2 linked regions of the Drosophila melanogaster genome follow. The protein of the gene in region 2 interacts with the protein of the main gene of each other region in a pairwise test. Each region holds a gene or a part of one and is shown on either strand. Other genes may lie near its edges.

Region 1 (7,003 bases), on a different chromosome or scaffold from region 2:
CACTTAACAATTTGCGTTTCGCTTTTGTTCCATAATGTGAAGCAGCATTTGGACGTGAAGCAAAGATAAGCTAACCTACTAATAGTTCTTGGACGACGACGTCGTTTACAAGTCTTATAAAATTTTATTGCACGTCTTGAGCCTTGGTACCCAAAATTATGTATTATCTGAAACAAAATTTAGCTGTTTATAAGACCTGTAGATACCGACAAATATATCAAAATTTAAGCAATAGCTAAAGCTTTATTAATCTTAGAGAGCAATGCTGCTTCCATTAATAAACAATTAAGTTAATTAGAGCACCAGACTAATATTTCAACATTATAGGTTCCGCCAATTCGCTAAATGGAAGCAGCTCTTGCTCAAAAATTACCAACTCACAGAGCTCTTTCGACTCCAATCAATCCGTAGTGGGCAGCTCGAACACGGATCGGGATATGGAGTTTCGAGCCAACGAAAGTGATGTGGACATCATCTCCAATCCGAGCCAGTCCAGCATAGAGGTACTAGATCCGAACTACGTGCAGAGCGCCAGTCGCAAGACCTCAGAAGAGCGCCGCATATCCCAGCTACCTCATCTGGAGACGATACACGATGAAGTAGCGAAATCGAAGAGCTTCATCGAACGCGAGTTTGGTCAGCTTCTGGCGGAGCAGGCTCAGCCTACGACACCTTCGACTGCAGCTCCCTTGGCTCCTGCAAAATCGGCTGTCCCATCCCATGTACCGCTGACAGAGAGCAGCTCGTCGGGATCCGTAACGGACAGCATATGTACTACCTACGAGCAGCAGGCCACTGATGCGCCACAAAATCTACAAAATTCCCTGCTCACCGAGTCGTCAAACAGCCAAGTTAGTGGTTCGGATGCGGAATCTAATAGCCGTTTGAAAAGCGCCGAGGATGCCAGCCTGCTGCCTTTCGCATCTGTATTTCAATCAACCAATCTGCTCATGTCCAGCTCAAAGAAGTTGATCGAGTCGGAGGCAACTGTTTTTGGTACCCAGCCGTACAAGTTTAACTACAGCGACTTTAATGATATCGATCACCGTCTGAAGCTCTACTTCTACCAACGAAAGTTCAAAGAGGATGGCGAGCATTTCAAGTGGTTGGCCAAAGGTCGCATCTACAATGAGCAGACCCAATCCTTGGGAGAAGGGCTTGTGGTAATGTCCAACTGCAAGTGCTATCTAATGGAGGCCTTTGCAGAACCCCATGACGATGTGGCCAAATGGCTGAGGCAGGTCGTCAGCGTGGCAGTCAATCGTTTGGTGGCCATTGATCTGTTGCCCTGGAAACTTGGCTTGTCCTTCACCTTAAAGGATTGGGGAGGATTTGTCCTGCTGTTGCATGACATGCTGAGGACGGAAAGTTTACTGAATTATTTACAACGTGAGTTAACTTTTTGCATGTTGCTTTTTTCCTAATACTTATTATATTTTTTAACAGAAATTCCTCTGCCTGAGCAGTGCAAGCTGAATCATCAACCATCTGTCACACTCAGCCATCAGTGGGAAACTATTGCGTCCGAACCAGTCAAGATGTGCTCCCTGATTCCCAGCTGCCAATGGATCTGTGACCAGGAGAAGAGCTCCTTTGAACCCTCCCTGCTCCTAATCACGGAGACACATTTGTACATCTCAGGAAATGGCAAATTCTCGTGGCTGTCAGATAAAGTTCAGGAAAAGCCCATTCAACCAGAACTTAGCCTTAATCAACCACTGAGCAATTTGGTCGACGTGGAGCGCATTACAGACCAAAAGTATGCGATCAACTTTATTGATGAGACGCAAAACAGGTGCGAGATATGGAAGTTGCAGTTCGAAACGCATGCCAATGCCGCATGTTGCCTGAATGTCATCGGAAAGGGATGGGAGCAGCTATTTGGAGTGCCATTCAGTCTCTCTGGAACGTGAGGAGCGAATTACACTAGAAAATTGAATATAGCCTGTACCAATTATTGTGCAAAGTTTAAAATTGTTGATCTTAATTGACTATGTTATTTAATGTCAGATTAGTTTTATTAACTTAGGCTAGAGCTTTCAATCAATAAGAAATGGTGCTGTACCACGATTTAAATGTAAATATTTATAAATATAGAGGTTATTATTTTTTGAAGTCCTTGCAATATATTCATATATTACAGAATTAAATCGTCTAAATTGTTTTATTTGTTGTTAGATGAATTATAGTTGGTATCAGTAAGTTGATATTACATATTTGCTTCTATTTACACATGAATAATATTATTGGAAACAAAAGAACTACAATATTGTCAAGGAATTTTGTTTGCTAATTAAATAATATTCACACGTGAGTTATAAATGTTATATGCATTTAAACTCGGTCGGATTTATTTTCGACTTATCTGTTAGTGCTATCTACTTGATAATTTCGGCATAGAGGTTTTTCATTTCTGTTTTAAATCGGATGTCTTTATAAACTATTATCTATTTCTATTAATTATCTATATACAGTACACTTCTTATGCTGACTCACTCATCGAAGAGTCCACTTAACCAGGTGTCTTACTTATCGCCCAGCTGATCTGCGATCCAGTCAAGATGCTCCTCCTTGAAGCGAGGATCTGCCATGGTCAGAGCCGTCGACTTGGAGCTGTAGTAATAGAAAACCGACACTGCGGGAAAGAGGAAGATATTAGGATAAGTGTGGAATGAATATTTCCGGAACTCACTGATGCGCTGTGCCACTGATAGGGCAATCAGACCCAGTGGCCAATGATGACCGTCCTCTTCTGGCGGCTGACGGTATTGGTAGATGATCCAAAAGTGCTGGGAGGCGGACAGAAGGAAGTAGATGGTAATGCTGGCCATGAAGAGCTTGCAATTCCGCAGGATTATGTGCGAGGCGCCGACCTGGTACACACACGTCGAGTGCAGGGCGAGGGTGAACAGCAGGTACTCCGCGATAATCAGGGCATCCTGAGTGCTGTGGTAACGTGCTGTGTTCAGAAAGGATATCTTCTCCATTCCCTAAGATACTCACACAAAGAGAATTATGGCTGTCTGCAATCGGTTTCTGGCCAGCGAAGGACCAAAGGCGTTGCAAAAGAGGTCCACTCCCAAAAGGGCGAACTGGAACAGGAGCACCCAGGAGTAGCGTCGCAGTGTTAGCTTCATGGCGGTGTCCAAATGTCAAGCGCTTGTTTTCGGTCAATTTGTTGCGTGCTGACTGTGCGGGGGTTTGTTGTGTCCTTCGTCCTGGTGACGTCAAAGCTACCACTGCGGTCATGCGCTGTGGATTTGTACTATCCCCTTATCGATAGACAGATTTCCATGGAGAACTGGTGAAACTTTGAAAACGTGTGGAAGGCATTGGCGGGAACAGAAATGGGTACGTATTTTTAAAGACCAGGTTACAAATTGGAGTCAGAAAACTATATATTATTCTGGGTTGCTTTTATTATCAGACATATCGAGCATATTCAAAAGGGTACTGCTGCCGTTTTCCCGATCGGAAGGTGTCCATTCTGCCAGCCTGTCGCCGGAATCTCCTGTAGTACTGCTGGTTCATCTCGGAGTAGAAGTTTGTGGGCAGTAGGTGAGACCAACTGTGGTCGCCTTCACCATTGTGGCGGTCCAGAAACTGGAACATCGATGCGGAAGTGACTTCGGCAGCCCCTGTGCGCCAGAATGGCCAGGTTGGATTTAAGGTCACCAGAGCCAAGACCAGAAACCAGAACGTCATCGTCTTAGCCATTTGTGAAGAGAGCTGTTTGGCCAAAACCCGGCACCCAATACCCTCCTCCAAAGTCGACTGCCGGTTGCAGGTGGTCAGCAGATTTCGAGCCGGGGTGCTTCCATTTGCATTTTTTTCGGAACGCTGTCGTTCTACTCCGTCAGTGCGATCAGCGTTTTCCGAGTGGGCTATAAAGTGGATTGGCTGGGAGGCTACAATCAACAGTCAGCCTTCGTTCGTCACTTCAGCAGCAAGTAGAGACAGCTCAAGAACCATCCGCAATGGCATTCAACTTTGGTCACCTCCTCATCGCCGGCCTCGTGGCCTTGTCCGCCGTGTCCTCGGAGACCATCCAGCTGCAGCCCACTCAGGGCATCCTCATCCCCGCCCCGCTGGCCGAGAACATCCGTGTGTCGCGTGCCGCCTACGGAGGATACGGCGCTGCCCCAGCCGCCCCATCGTACTCCGCCCCAGCCGCTCCCGCTGCCCAGGCCTACTCTGCTCCCGCTGCCCCAGCCTACTCCGCACCCGCTGCTCCCGCCTACTCCGCACCCGCTGCTCCTGCCTACTCTGCTCCCGCTGCCCCAGCTTACTCTGCCCCAGCCGCACCAGCTTACTCCGCACCCGCCTCCATTCCGTCGCCGCCGTGCCCCAAGAACTACCTGTTCAGCTGCCAGCCCTCCCTGCAGCCCGTGCCCTGCTCCGCCCCAGCTCAGTCCTACGGATCCGCCGGTGCCTACTCCCAGTACGTGCCCCAGTACGCCGTGCCCTTCGTCCGCGAACTTTAAGGATCGAAACGAATCTGACTTGACATCTGAACCTAAGAATAAAGTAATGCTTTCATAAAAAACATTTAAGATATTTTATTGAAGGGGTATCAAGGGTTTTATTGCTTTTCTACAAGCTATTAAAAAAGTTTCAGCTCTCTGAAATAAATATAATTATTACCGATATGATGCAACAAATTTAAGGTTTTGTGTTTTACTAGTACACCTTTTTTTAAAAAGAACAAATTCGTATATGCAAAACGAGTAATGGGCTGTAAGCAATTTTGAAATTCTAGAACACTTTAGATATATCTTGTTATTTATCGTCTTAGCAATGATTAAAGCGGCACAAAAAGTTGCTCCCAATTTTGGTCTAAAACTAATCCTGTTTATATATTTAATAGTGCCAAACAGAAGTCTTAAATAAATAATAAATATTAAAAAGATTAAAATATTGTTTAAAATTTTCACTTTATTAAAAATCAGCTAGTTCATCAATATGAGCTGTACCCACATGGAACCGGCTTGATAACCGCTTCGCAGGAGAACACATAGTTCTTTGGGCAAGCTGGAGAAGGAACTTCACTGAGTGTGGTTTGTTGTTGGTATGTTCCCTGAACCGGTACCTGGGCCTCATCCTGGTCGTAGCTGCGAGCGAAGCCAAATTTGCCACGTCCAAAACCAGGACCTCCGAAGCCGGGACCTCCGAAACCGGGACCTCCAAAGCCGGGACGTCCAAAGCCAGGGCCTCCGAAGCCCGGACCTCCGAAGCCAGGACCTCCAAAACCAGGTCCTCCAAAACCAGGTCCACCAAACCCGGGACCACCAAAGTTGTTCTCCACGATTACCTCCTGTACGATTTGCTGTTGCCTCCTCCTACGGTTCAGATACGCATCCGAGGGCTCGACAGCTGATGATCTCGATGGCAGGCTCCTTAAGCACCCTGTACTTCCTCCACAGGTCGAGGCTTCCAAACCAGCCTGCTGACCCAGAGAACTCGCTCCGGCCAAAAGGGCAAAGAATCCGAGATACTTCCACATGCTGACTTGATATGGTGGCGTTGCAAGCTGAGAAAGCCGAGATGCGGCGTTGTTCAAGTGGCTTTTATAACCTCATGCCACCAGAAGTGCACAACGAAGCGGAAACGGAGATGGCCAAGGTAACACCCAACAAGTGGGTCACTTGGTCGCACATTCCAGAGGGCGAGTGGGATCAGAATTGGGGCGAAGTTGGAAGTTCGAGAAAATGGGCCATTGGCTAGAAGGGGTTAATCCGCTGGGAGGGCCCAAGTCACTACTTGGCTGGGCTCGGAAACCCTACGAGCACCTGAAACCCGAAGGTCAGCACATTGTAGCCACTGCTGCTTTCCGGCTTGTAGGCTGACCGACCAGTCAAGCGATTGATGATGGGATCCGATATCGCATTACCCAATCGCTTGCACTTTTCACTTTTCAATTTTCCGCTTTGTCGCTGATTCGGATGTGTCGCAAGCATTTCTTCTAGCTAAAATATACATTTATGTACAATTTAATAACTATTTTGTTTGGTACCAGCATTTCCTGCAGTTCAGTGACCCACAACGAGCTGCTTGGCACAAAGGTTAAAAACTGAAAGTTTGCTTAGTTACAATCACCTGTATCTGGCGGATGTAGATTTAATCGGATTGGGAAAAGCTGGAGGCAGTAGCCGAAACTACATTTCCTTTTTCAGGAATTTAATAGCTAACGATTTTAAAATGGTTTTATGGTGGTTATAAAATGGTTATAAAATAAATTATTTTAGTACAAGTTATATAAGTTAACTTGGAGAATAAAAACATTGGGTTTACTTCAATGATAAACGTTGATTAGGTTACTAAAATAAATTTTGTCGTCAATTATCTAGTAAGATGATAAAAAGACAGTGCAGCAAATATACTTAAATGCTTCATTTTGGGAATGTTTAAAGAAAATGTTATACTTGGGACTTTTAATATATATAAAGTTATATCAGAATATATATCTTTTATCAAACAACAGCCTGGTAGAATAATAATATGATTTTGTTATTACCAACATTATCTTGGAATGATAATCTAGGCTTGGTCTTCTTCTATTGGTTGCTAGAAACTACAATAGTTATACCCTTAGTAAGAACAATTCATGATTTAGCTTTTTTTTAGTGATTTAATTGCAGTACATATTTTTGGGTATATTTTTTGTCAAATCCATCAAAGCTTATGTTTCTCGGCAGTCGGTTCGTGGTCCTTGGGCGATGATCGCAGTCGCAGTCGGAGCAGGTGCTTAGTACTGGTAGCCATAGGTCTGGGGCACGTAGGCGCTGTACAGCTGCTGCTGGTGCTGGGGCACGCCGTAGTTGGGGGCGACGTAGGTGGCCACCGGGGAGGAGTAGGCGCCGGCGGATCCGTAGCTGGGAGCTGGAGCGCTGCATGGCACGGGGGCAAGGTTGGGCTGGCAGCTGAACAGGTAGTTCTTGGGGCAGGGAGGAGCTGGGATGCTGGAGCCGCCATAGCCGCCGGAGCTGCCGCCGTAGGCAGACTT
Region 2 (8,677 bases):
GAATCCATCCACCAGAGCCACCGCATTGGGTCGCAGCTTGGCCAGCAGCTCCTCAAAGCGACGCTCCACGAAGCGCAGTTGGGTGCCAGTGATGCCGTTGTTCCAACGCAGCACGCATCCCGACTGTCGCAGGAATGTATCGATGACGAAAAGCTCAACCAGTTGGCCCAAGATGAGTGAGACATTCGGGCTAAGATCGCCCTTCTTTCGAAGTGCTTCCACTTGCTCCAGTGCATTGCGTGTGAAGAATGCGTGAGCATGGGCTATGGCAGCCGAGGTGAGCTGCCTTCCAGCCAGATTGCTGGCCATCTCGGGACTCACCTTGCCGGATTGGTGCATCTTCTGGGTCTGCCAAGCATCACGCACCTGCTCCATGGCTGAAATCTCCAGCGCTCGCACACAATTCGCAACCAGATTCTTGCCCCAAATCAAACGGGCTGTATCCCTCAAATAGGAGACACTGGAGGGCAGCACCTTGCGTTTTAAGCTATCCGCATACTGCCGGACGAGGAAACGAGCTGTCTGGAGCAGGAGTACTGTGTACTCTCCCTCGTAGGTGTATGTGGCGGCGGTCAGACCATAGATGCTATCGAAATTCGCCGAGGAAAGGAATCCGTGGCCACCGCAACTCTTGCGCAGCAGATCAACTCCCTCGCTGGCCTCGTCGGTGGCCACCGCCTTGAGGCAGCAGCTCAGGGCGTGCAGCTCCGGCAGGGAGTTGCGTCCTTTCGTGCTTTCATCCTCCAGTTGGCGGAGTACGTCCTCGTAGAAGCGCCACAGCCAATCGGATACCAGGCGATAGGACACTCCTCGAGCAATTTGCGGTAGAATCTTTGCCTGCTGTGTGATGTGATCCAAAACAGAGACCTCCGGCTGATCGCTGTTAATCCGGCTCTGGCGACGCACCACGGAATACCTAAAGATAATGATAATTATTATCTAAAGAACCCTGGGTGAGCTGAATGTGTTTTATGGGCTTAATAACAGCTATGATAAACATAATCCCCAGAAACTATATAATCACCTGGTGGCAATGGTGGCAGCCTGGAGCAGTCCAAAGAGCACATCCTTCACGGTAATTACCCGCACATAGACCATTGTGCCGTAGAGCAGCAGCGGAGGTCTACCCTGGACGAAGGTGCCGTCGGTCAGGACTTGGGCGTTCTTCATCAGCATTTGATTGCGCGGTATCCGCACGTCGCGGAGTCCCAGAAAGCCGTTGTTAACGCCATTGCCACCCAGGCGAGGTCCTATATCGCCCACATCGACTCCAGTCAACGGTTCGTGTGTCCTCTCGTCCCTGATCCTCACCACAAATGATTGCAAGCCATAATGCTTGCCCTTCACATATAGCTGGGCCAGCACAATGGCCACATTGGCGGTATTACCAAGTCCGCCGGGCCACCACTTGTATGAACTTTGCGTTGGGGTGTTCAGGATGAATTCCTGCGTGATGGGATCGTAGTCGGCTCGGGTTTCCAGGCCCCGGACAAAGGTGCCGTGACCCAGCTCCGTTTGCGCATAGGTGCCCAGGACGCCGTCCATGTGCCAGGATCGATTGAGCCACTGGGCCTGCTGCTCCTCGGTTCCCTGGCTCAGCAAGGTGGTCATGAACATGGAGAAATGCACCCGAAGGGGGAAGCTCTGCTGGAAGAGGCCCGTGCCCAGGGATCCGGAGAGTAGCAGCCGAAAGTCCCTCAGCATATTCACACTAAGCTGAAGTTGTGGCTGCTTCTCCCGCTGCCATTGGCGCAGTTTGGCCAGGAAGCGTGTGGATCGGGCCACGGTCTGTTCGTAGCGCTCCTTGTATGACAGACAGCTCGGATGCACTGGCTCCGCGAAGTCGGGATCCTCATAGAAACGCCTTTCCAGGGCGCGGCGCTCCTCCAGCTGCCCAGAGCCACCCGCCCACCAGCGGGCAAAGTCCTCGCTGTCCAAGGTGGCCGCCGCCCGCTCTCTCTGCAGATCCGCATTCACAGACATGATCGCTCTATCTCTCCTTCCCGATCTCTCTTTTCCTAGAGTTTTACTTTTCTACGGGATTTCCCAACTTCTCTGCTCGAACGACTCGATTGCACTGAGAAGTTGGTGGCTGGAAGAAACAGTTCTGCAGCTCGAAACATGGCAGCCAGGTCACCAAAGGCGGGGATAGCAGGGGAATATGGTTGGTTATCAGTGATCCGAAATTAAAGATGAGTTGCCAATTAATATACCGGGATTCTTTATACATTTACCACATTATACTCATAAAGGATGCAGTGTATAAGCTATTTATGGATAACTTATACAGAAGAGGCGATCTGGAACCCCTTTGGATGGTCCATCCTGCCTACGCCTTTGGAGCCCCACCACTGCCTCTCTTTCGCGCTCTGCCCGCTGGTGCTCCAACCGCCGTTGTTGCTGCATTGGAGTCACTGAACTGAGAACTGAGCCACTCTCAAATTGCTTGAGCGCCTTAGGGTGGACCATATTCCGTATTTGTCGAAAGTTTCTCAAACTGCGTCTTTCTTACAAGATGCACTTATCATGTTTTAGATTTCGTATCCTAGGTTGTATATTTGGACGGAATTTGTTTCTTACTATTAACTCAAACGCTGATTTGTGTGTTGGTCCACCCTAGCCAAAAATGGCACAAAGTGCGTAAACATCTGATGAGCGGCATTATCTCCTAGTTTTTTAGTTCAAGTTTTTTTTACCGTAGATAAGAAAATCGTAAATATTTCTTGTTGTTTTTGTTTTGCAAAAACCCACAAAGCTCAACAAACAATTATTTCTTTTTCGTACAATAACATTTTTATTTCGTGGATTTCTTGTTATCAACATAACGTTTCTCAATTGGATGACGTTTAGAAAATCTAAGATAACCCTATGGGCCATTGTCAAATTGTTTATAAATAGAAACTAAAAGACATGGAAAGAGCGATTTTATTTATATAAATAAATAAATATATTATTATACATACGAGCTTCTGCAACCTGGATTTTAGGACAAATTCTCAATTTAAATTTCCCGCTCTTCAAGAATGCAACATAAAATATAAAAAAACACTGGCCATTTTAATAACTATAAAGAGTAATTATTATAATATTATTGATGTGCCAAAAATGCAACGTGAATTACAATTTATTTTACAAGAAAACATAAGTTTTGTAATAAAAAAAAGCTTAGGAGTACCCCTATTAAAAAGTTTTCAGCATAAAAGCTCGTCGAATGTGTGACCAATTGTCGGAGTAATTTAGTGGCGCCCGACGAATGGCCACACTGCCGGCCAGCTGATCGCCCGCGTGCAGATTTCTCGACTTTATTTTCCTTATTTGGCTGTTGTTGTTTTGGGCCGCCGGTACCGCTTAGCTTTCTGTCTTCCTCTCTCTCTGTCTTTCTCTCTCGCTCCCACCAACGGCACCGCCATGGGTAAGAACACGAAGCGCAACAAGAAGACAAAACAGCAGCAACAGCAGCCACAACAAAACGGAGTAACTGCATCCGCATCCGGCACAGCAGTCGAGGATTTTGAGGACCAGCAGGCGGCCAGTTCGTTGCCCAGTTTAAACGGCAAAAAGAGGAGCCAACTAAACAAGCTCGTCGAGGAACTGCTTGACTTGGTGGAAAAGCAACCGGCGAATCCCAACGAGGAATGGAAGCAGTACGGGCAGCTACAGGAGCTGCTCAAACAAATCATGATCCTGGAGGAGCCACTCAGCCAAGCAGTGTGTCCGCAGATCAGCGATTCCCCCGACGATCAGACCCGTCTGGCCAAAGTGGAGGCGTTCAGTGCGTGGGCCAAAGATGGCGGAGTTCACAGTGAGGGACTGGAGATAGCCATCTTTCCCGGCTACCAACTGGGTCTGCGGGCCACCCGACCGTTGGCCAAGGATGAGCTGGTGCTCAGCGTGCCCCGGAAGCTCATCTTATCCGAGGAAAACAACTCCGATTGCCGCCTATTTGGCAAAATGACGCAGGCCACCCACTTGAACCTGGCCTATGATCTGGTCATCGAGAAGATCCGTGGCGAGTTCAGCGAGTGGCGGCCCTACATTGATGTTCTGCCTGCCAAATACAACACCGTGCTATACTTTACCACCAAGCAGATGGAGCTCCTCCGGGGCACCGCTGCAGCCGCTCTGGCAATGCGTCAGTGTCGCGTCATCGCCAAGCAGTACGCCTTCCTCTACAAGTACGCCCACACCATGACTGAGCCGAGCACCGGGAACAGGAGCCATCCGGGCGAAAGAGGCCTCTTTTTCACGCAGCACGGACTCTGCTACAAGCTATACAGGTGAGTTTCGATTGAGATTTGGGATTGCAATAAAGGTGCTAAAGGTGCCTTAAAAAAATATCGCTACTTTTAAAGTTTGTTCTACTAAGTTTAAGAAGAAATATGATTCTGTGCTAAAAAGATGGCTTAAGGCCAAGTTTTCTGCTCTGAAGATCTTTTCAGTTGGCCTAGAAATAGAAATATTGTATACCTTTCCGGAATTCCATTTTTAAATCCTGCCCTCGTGTTGATCTTTCCCTAAGTGTGTTTTTCGGTTTAGTTTGGGCTTGTTTTTGCTGCAGAGAGGCCTCTGAATCTGCCAGTTGTCCCACTGGCCATAAATTACATGTTCACTTACAGCTGGTGCTGTTTGTTTTAAAGCGAGAGTAGATGCATATGGCCAGATTGCCCGACCATTGTTGACCTTCCCGTCTGGCATTGTGATCGCATTGTTTTGCCGAAGATCTACGATCTATTTACGGATCCGCTTCCACTTGCGACGGCTGGGTCATGGTGCACTGGGATGGGTCTGGTTGTGGTTGTGGTTCTGGTTCTCCACTCGCTTCTGTATTTATAGTGCCGCGATTTCGACACCAATCTTCGGTTGTGGTCGAAAACCCCAGCGAGTCATGCGGTTAGTCAAGTGCTTTCGAAATGCTTGAAATCTTTGCCACAATTTGTTCTACATTTTATTTCTCAAAAAAATCAAATTGAAACTTATTTACATACATATTTGAGCGTGCTTAAATATATAATTATATTTATATATATAAATATATATATATATATATATATACTGTCGCCAGATGTTCTACTGCCTAGTGAGAGGGGCGGGGGTGGTAACGAAAATCAAATCAAAAATAAAGTGCCTGCACTACGAAATAAATACAGGTGTTTCATCTATTTTCACTTCTTGGTTTTTGCAGTACATTTTGCGCATTTAAAATATTAGTGTTGTTGTTGTTGTTGCTGTTGGTATTGTTGTGCTAATGACCACGCCCACATAGCGCCCATTTATGCCTTGCCTTGATCTAAATTCAATTAAATTTTGGTATTTTAGTCAGTGCCAGAAAGAAGTTTGCTTCAGTTAAATCGTATCGAACACAGTTTTCTTCATTTTCTTTTGGTTTTTATTTATTTTGTTTTCGTAATTTCCTCATTAATATTTATTGTCCTCATAAATGGTTTTATTTTGCTTTCTCGAATTTCAATATTTATTCGATTTGGGCCTTTTTTTGGGAAAGTGTCTGAACACAACTGTACCTTGTTTGGCTAAGATCCTGTTCTGTTGTTCTGTATTTAAGTTAGTTTTCGTCTTTATCTCGTGCTAAGAAACCCATTTGAATGCCGTGTCCTATGATTTAGTTGATAGAGTCGCGTTAGTTGATGGATCATAATCGTACATTAGGTCTAGATAGTTGGAAACGATAGTTTGCCGAGCTTAGAGACTAGCAACAGTGCGCGCCATAAACGTAGGGCGGATTGAACTAGGTTTTGCGGTCTACAACGATACAAATGAATCAGAAAATAAATAAAGTAAAAATAAATAACATAAAGTGGACTATACAGTTTACATTCCAATCTGTCATGAAAATATTTAAAAATGAACACTATTCTTTTTAAACTGTATGTCTGCACAATCTTTTTGAACCTTTTCTTACAAAGCGCCTTATGGCCATGCCACGCACTGTCTAAATGTGTTTTCTAGGTTGGTTTTTTGTTAGTTTTACTTTCTCTCACAGAATGTTCCTCTAATCGAGTTCAAAAAAATTCCACCTCCTACCTGCTTAAACTAATTAATCGACTAACTTTTGCTCCTTCGCGTTAGAGTGTGTATGCTTGTGTGTGTTGGGGGGATGTCATTGTGTGTGTGTGTGTGTTAAGTGTACATTTATATAAAACTTGGCCTAAACAACGGTCTATTGTTACTAGAGGAGCCTACTGCCTATTGCCTAATTGTCGAAGGATTTGCGCAGTGTGTCGAATAGATATTCCTGCACCTCCGGCGAACTGGGATCCATTGTGTTCAGCTTCTGTTGAGCACTTCTCAGCGAAATGGCCAGGCCACGCCCACTCAGCGCCTCCGGTGGAGCAGGTGGCTGCGCCCCCGTTGTAATGGTGGTATTCGTGGTGCTATTCGTGGTCAGCGAGGTGGCGGTGCTCATCGTGGCGGATCCATCGCGGGCAAAGAGCATTGAACTCTGCCGCTGCAGCTGATGAACGGGCGTGCAACAGGCCACCGAAGTGGAGATGCTGGCTATGCCCGTCTTAGATCCCGATCCTGATCCAGATCCAGCCCCTGTTCCCGAACTGGATCCAATGACCAGCTCTTCCATGTGCTGGCGCATCGAGGAACGACGCGATGGCTGCGCCATCTGCGGCAGCTTGCTCTTCATCGCATTGTAGGTGCGCAGGTAGCTGCTCTTTCTCCTGCGCTGCTGTTTCCATCGGCACACGACGAAGATGACCAGGAAGGTGGCCAACGCGGTGACCACTATCGCCGTGCTGGCCACAATCGCGGACTTGATCCCGGATGGCATGCTGGCGTACAAGCTGCTCAAATGCTGCTGCGATACGGCGGATGTGGCCGCCGCTGCAGCAGGACTGCGATGGAATCCCGGACCGGAGAGCTCCAGATCCAGGAGATCGTGTGCCCGCGCCACCTCGTTCTCGATCTCATCGATCACATCGTTATTCGGCGGCAGCCGACTGTTATCCGCCATCGAGGAGGAGTTGCCGCCATAAGGACTCACGCTTAGATCAATGTCAATGCTGGTGGGCTCCGAATCAACGTTGGAGTCCGCCTCCTGGGAACTTCCGTCGAGCAGCAGTCGAGGCGGTGGCAGGAAATAAGGATTCCTCTCCTCGGTGGCCGTGGCCAAGGAGGCGAGTGCCAGCGTCTTCCACGACGGGAAGAATCCCAGCGACTTTTCGCCACGCGAATTGATCGAAATGGTTCCAGTTCCGGCTCCAATGGTCGCCGATGAGGAAGATGTCTGTGCGTAGGCGGGACCTGAAAGGAAAGCATTTGAGCGACAGGAAGCTGAACGAGATTAAGACAGAGCGAGCGGGGCGAGAAACGGAGGAAGTTATTTAGTCTTTGAAGGCAATTCAAAAAAGTAAAGGGTCAAGTTAGGAAGAATCATAGGGCAGCTGGCAGGCAGGGATCTTAATGGCTATTTATGTAAATCCATTTAACCAACAATTATTTATGCCATTACAATACAATTCTACTTTCTAATTGAACTTAAGCAAACTATTTGATTAGATTTTATTGTTTTGAGGGGCTTATGCCAACTACTCGTACTTTCAATATATATTTAGTTGTTGTTAGCTAATGTTTCTATATGTGGAAGCCCGCGAAGGAGCAAAAGACCTCATCCCGACCTTTCACCCCTCCTGCCACTGCCCCCTTTCCCGGCCCCGCCCCCTCTTCCTGCCACGCCCCTGGCCTCCGCCAATCGCTGGCGTTGCTGGCGCAACCTTAAAGCCGTAATACCTCGACTTCCCATCGGTTTGACCTCGTCATTTGGCTCGATATCGATGATGGAGGTGAAGTAGCTTGAGCCTTGCGAGTCGGTCTTGATCTCATCGGGCTTGACGCTCTTCAGATCCATTAGATTAAAGTGCGGAAAGTTCTCGAAGGCCGTAACAATGTCCATGTTATCCTGCAGCAGAACCTTCTGGCCGGGATACAGACGCGAGTGCTCATCGCCGCCGTTCACGATGGTGGACAGATGCAGTTGGCTAGAGCCGCGTTTGCGGTGCTCGATCAGCTCCTCCAGGGTCATGTTGCGCTGCTCCAGAACCTTAAACAGTCGATTACCCGACCGCCGATCCTCAATGAGTTCCAGCAGATCGGTGCGGTCGTCCACATCGTCTATGACATTCAATTGCGGTGGCTTTGCCGCCGATAAAGAAGGTGGTGGTGCATAGGACGGTGGTGGTGGTTCATAGGAGGGAGAGGGTGGTGGTGGTGGAGGTGGTGGTGCTGCTGCTGCAGGAGTGGGCGACCTTGCTGGTGGTGCAGGCGCAAGTGCTGGTGGTGCTGGCACGCGAGTGTGATGCGTGTGACTCTCCACTTCGTCGAAAAAGTTCTCCAGCTCGTCCTCTCCGTAATTAAGTTCTTCGCTGTTTTTGTTTGATGGTGTAGCTGATGTGGTAGAACTAGGTGAAGCCTCAACCGGATCCACCTCCTCACTACTCTCTCCATTATTGCTCCCTATAAAGTTATCCTTTAATCGCTTTTGATTCTCTTTCACACTGGAATTTCGCAGACGATAGCGCGGACTTCCGGGCGCAAAGGAAGGAGCAGCTGGTGGTTCTGGTGTCTCGGTGGGCGGAATGCCTTCTCCAGACTCTGCCTCACTGGAATCGGGTTCCACCACCTCCTGGTTCTCCTGATTCTCCTGACTTTGTTC

Evidence for each region.
Region 1: the proteins of Setd3 (region 2) and Vm26Ab interact in a two-hybrid assay, tested with the Drosophila melanogaster proteins (one large-scale study listed by BioGRID).

What each region holds. Positions count from the first base shown.
Region 1 is NT_033779.5:5,953,089-5,960,091, forward strand, and holds Vm26Ab (vitelline membrane 26Ab), read left to right. Parts: upstream 1-3,915; 5' UTR 3,916-3,977; coding exon 3,978-4,484; 3' UTR 4,485-4,551; downstream 4,552-7,003. Other genes in the region: CG9044 (uncharacterized protein), read left to right, coding at 328-1,389, 1,447-1,913; CG13999 (uncharacterized protein), read right to left, coding at 2,526-2,635, 2,693-2,946, 3,004-3,137; CG13998 (uncharacterized protein), read right to left, coding at 3,424-3,717; Vm26Ac (vitelline membrane 26Aac), read right to left, coding at 4,958-5,503; Vm26Aa (vitelline membrane 26Aa), read right to left, coding at 6,746-7,003. UniProt on the Drosophila melanogaster protein: Major early eggshell protein secreted by follicle cells into the perivitelline space and incorporated into the vitelline membrane. Involved in vitelline membrane biogenesis; forms a cross-linked network with other vitelline membrane components.
Region 2 is NC_004354.4:6,963,324-6,972,000, reverse strand, and holds the start of Setd3 (SET domain containing 3), read left to right. Parts: upstream 1-3,250; 5' UTR 3,251-3,408; coding exon 3,409-4,277; exon of another isoform or gene 4,278-6,208; coding exon of another isoform or gene 6,209-7,269; intron 7,270-7,701; coding exon of another isoform or gene 7,702-8,677. Other genes in the region: CG4586 (uncharacterized protein), read right to left, coding at 1-916, 1,025-1,983; CG14431 (uncharacterized protein), read right to left, coding at 6,209-7,269, 7,702-8,677. UniProt on the Drosophila melanogaster protein: Protein-histidine N-methyltransferase that specifically mediates 3-methylhistidine (tele-methylhistidine) methylation of actin at 'His-74'.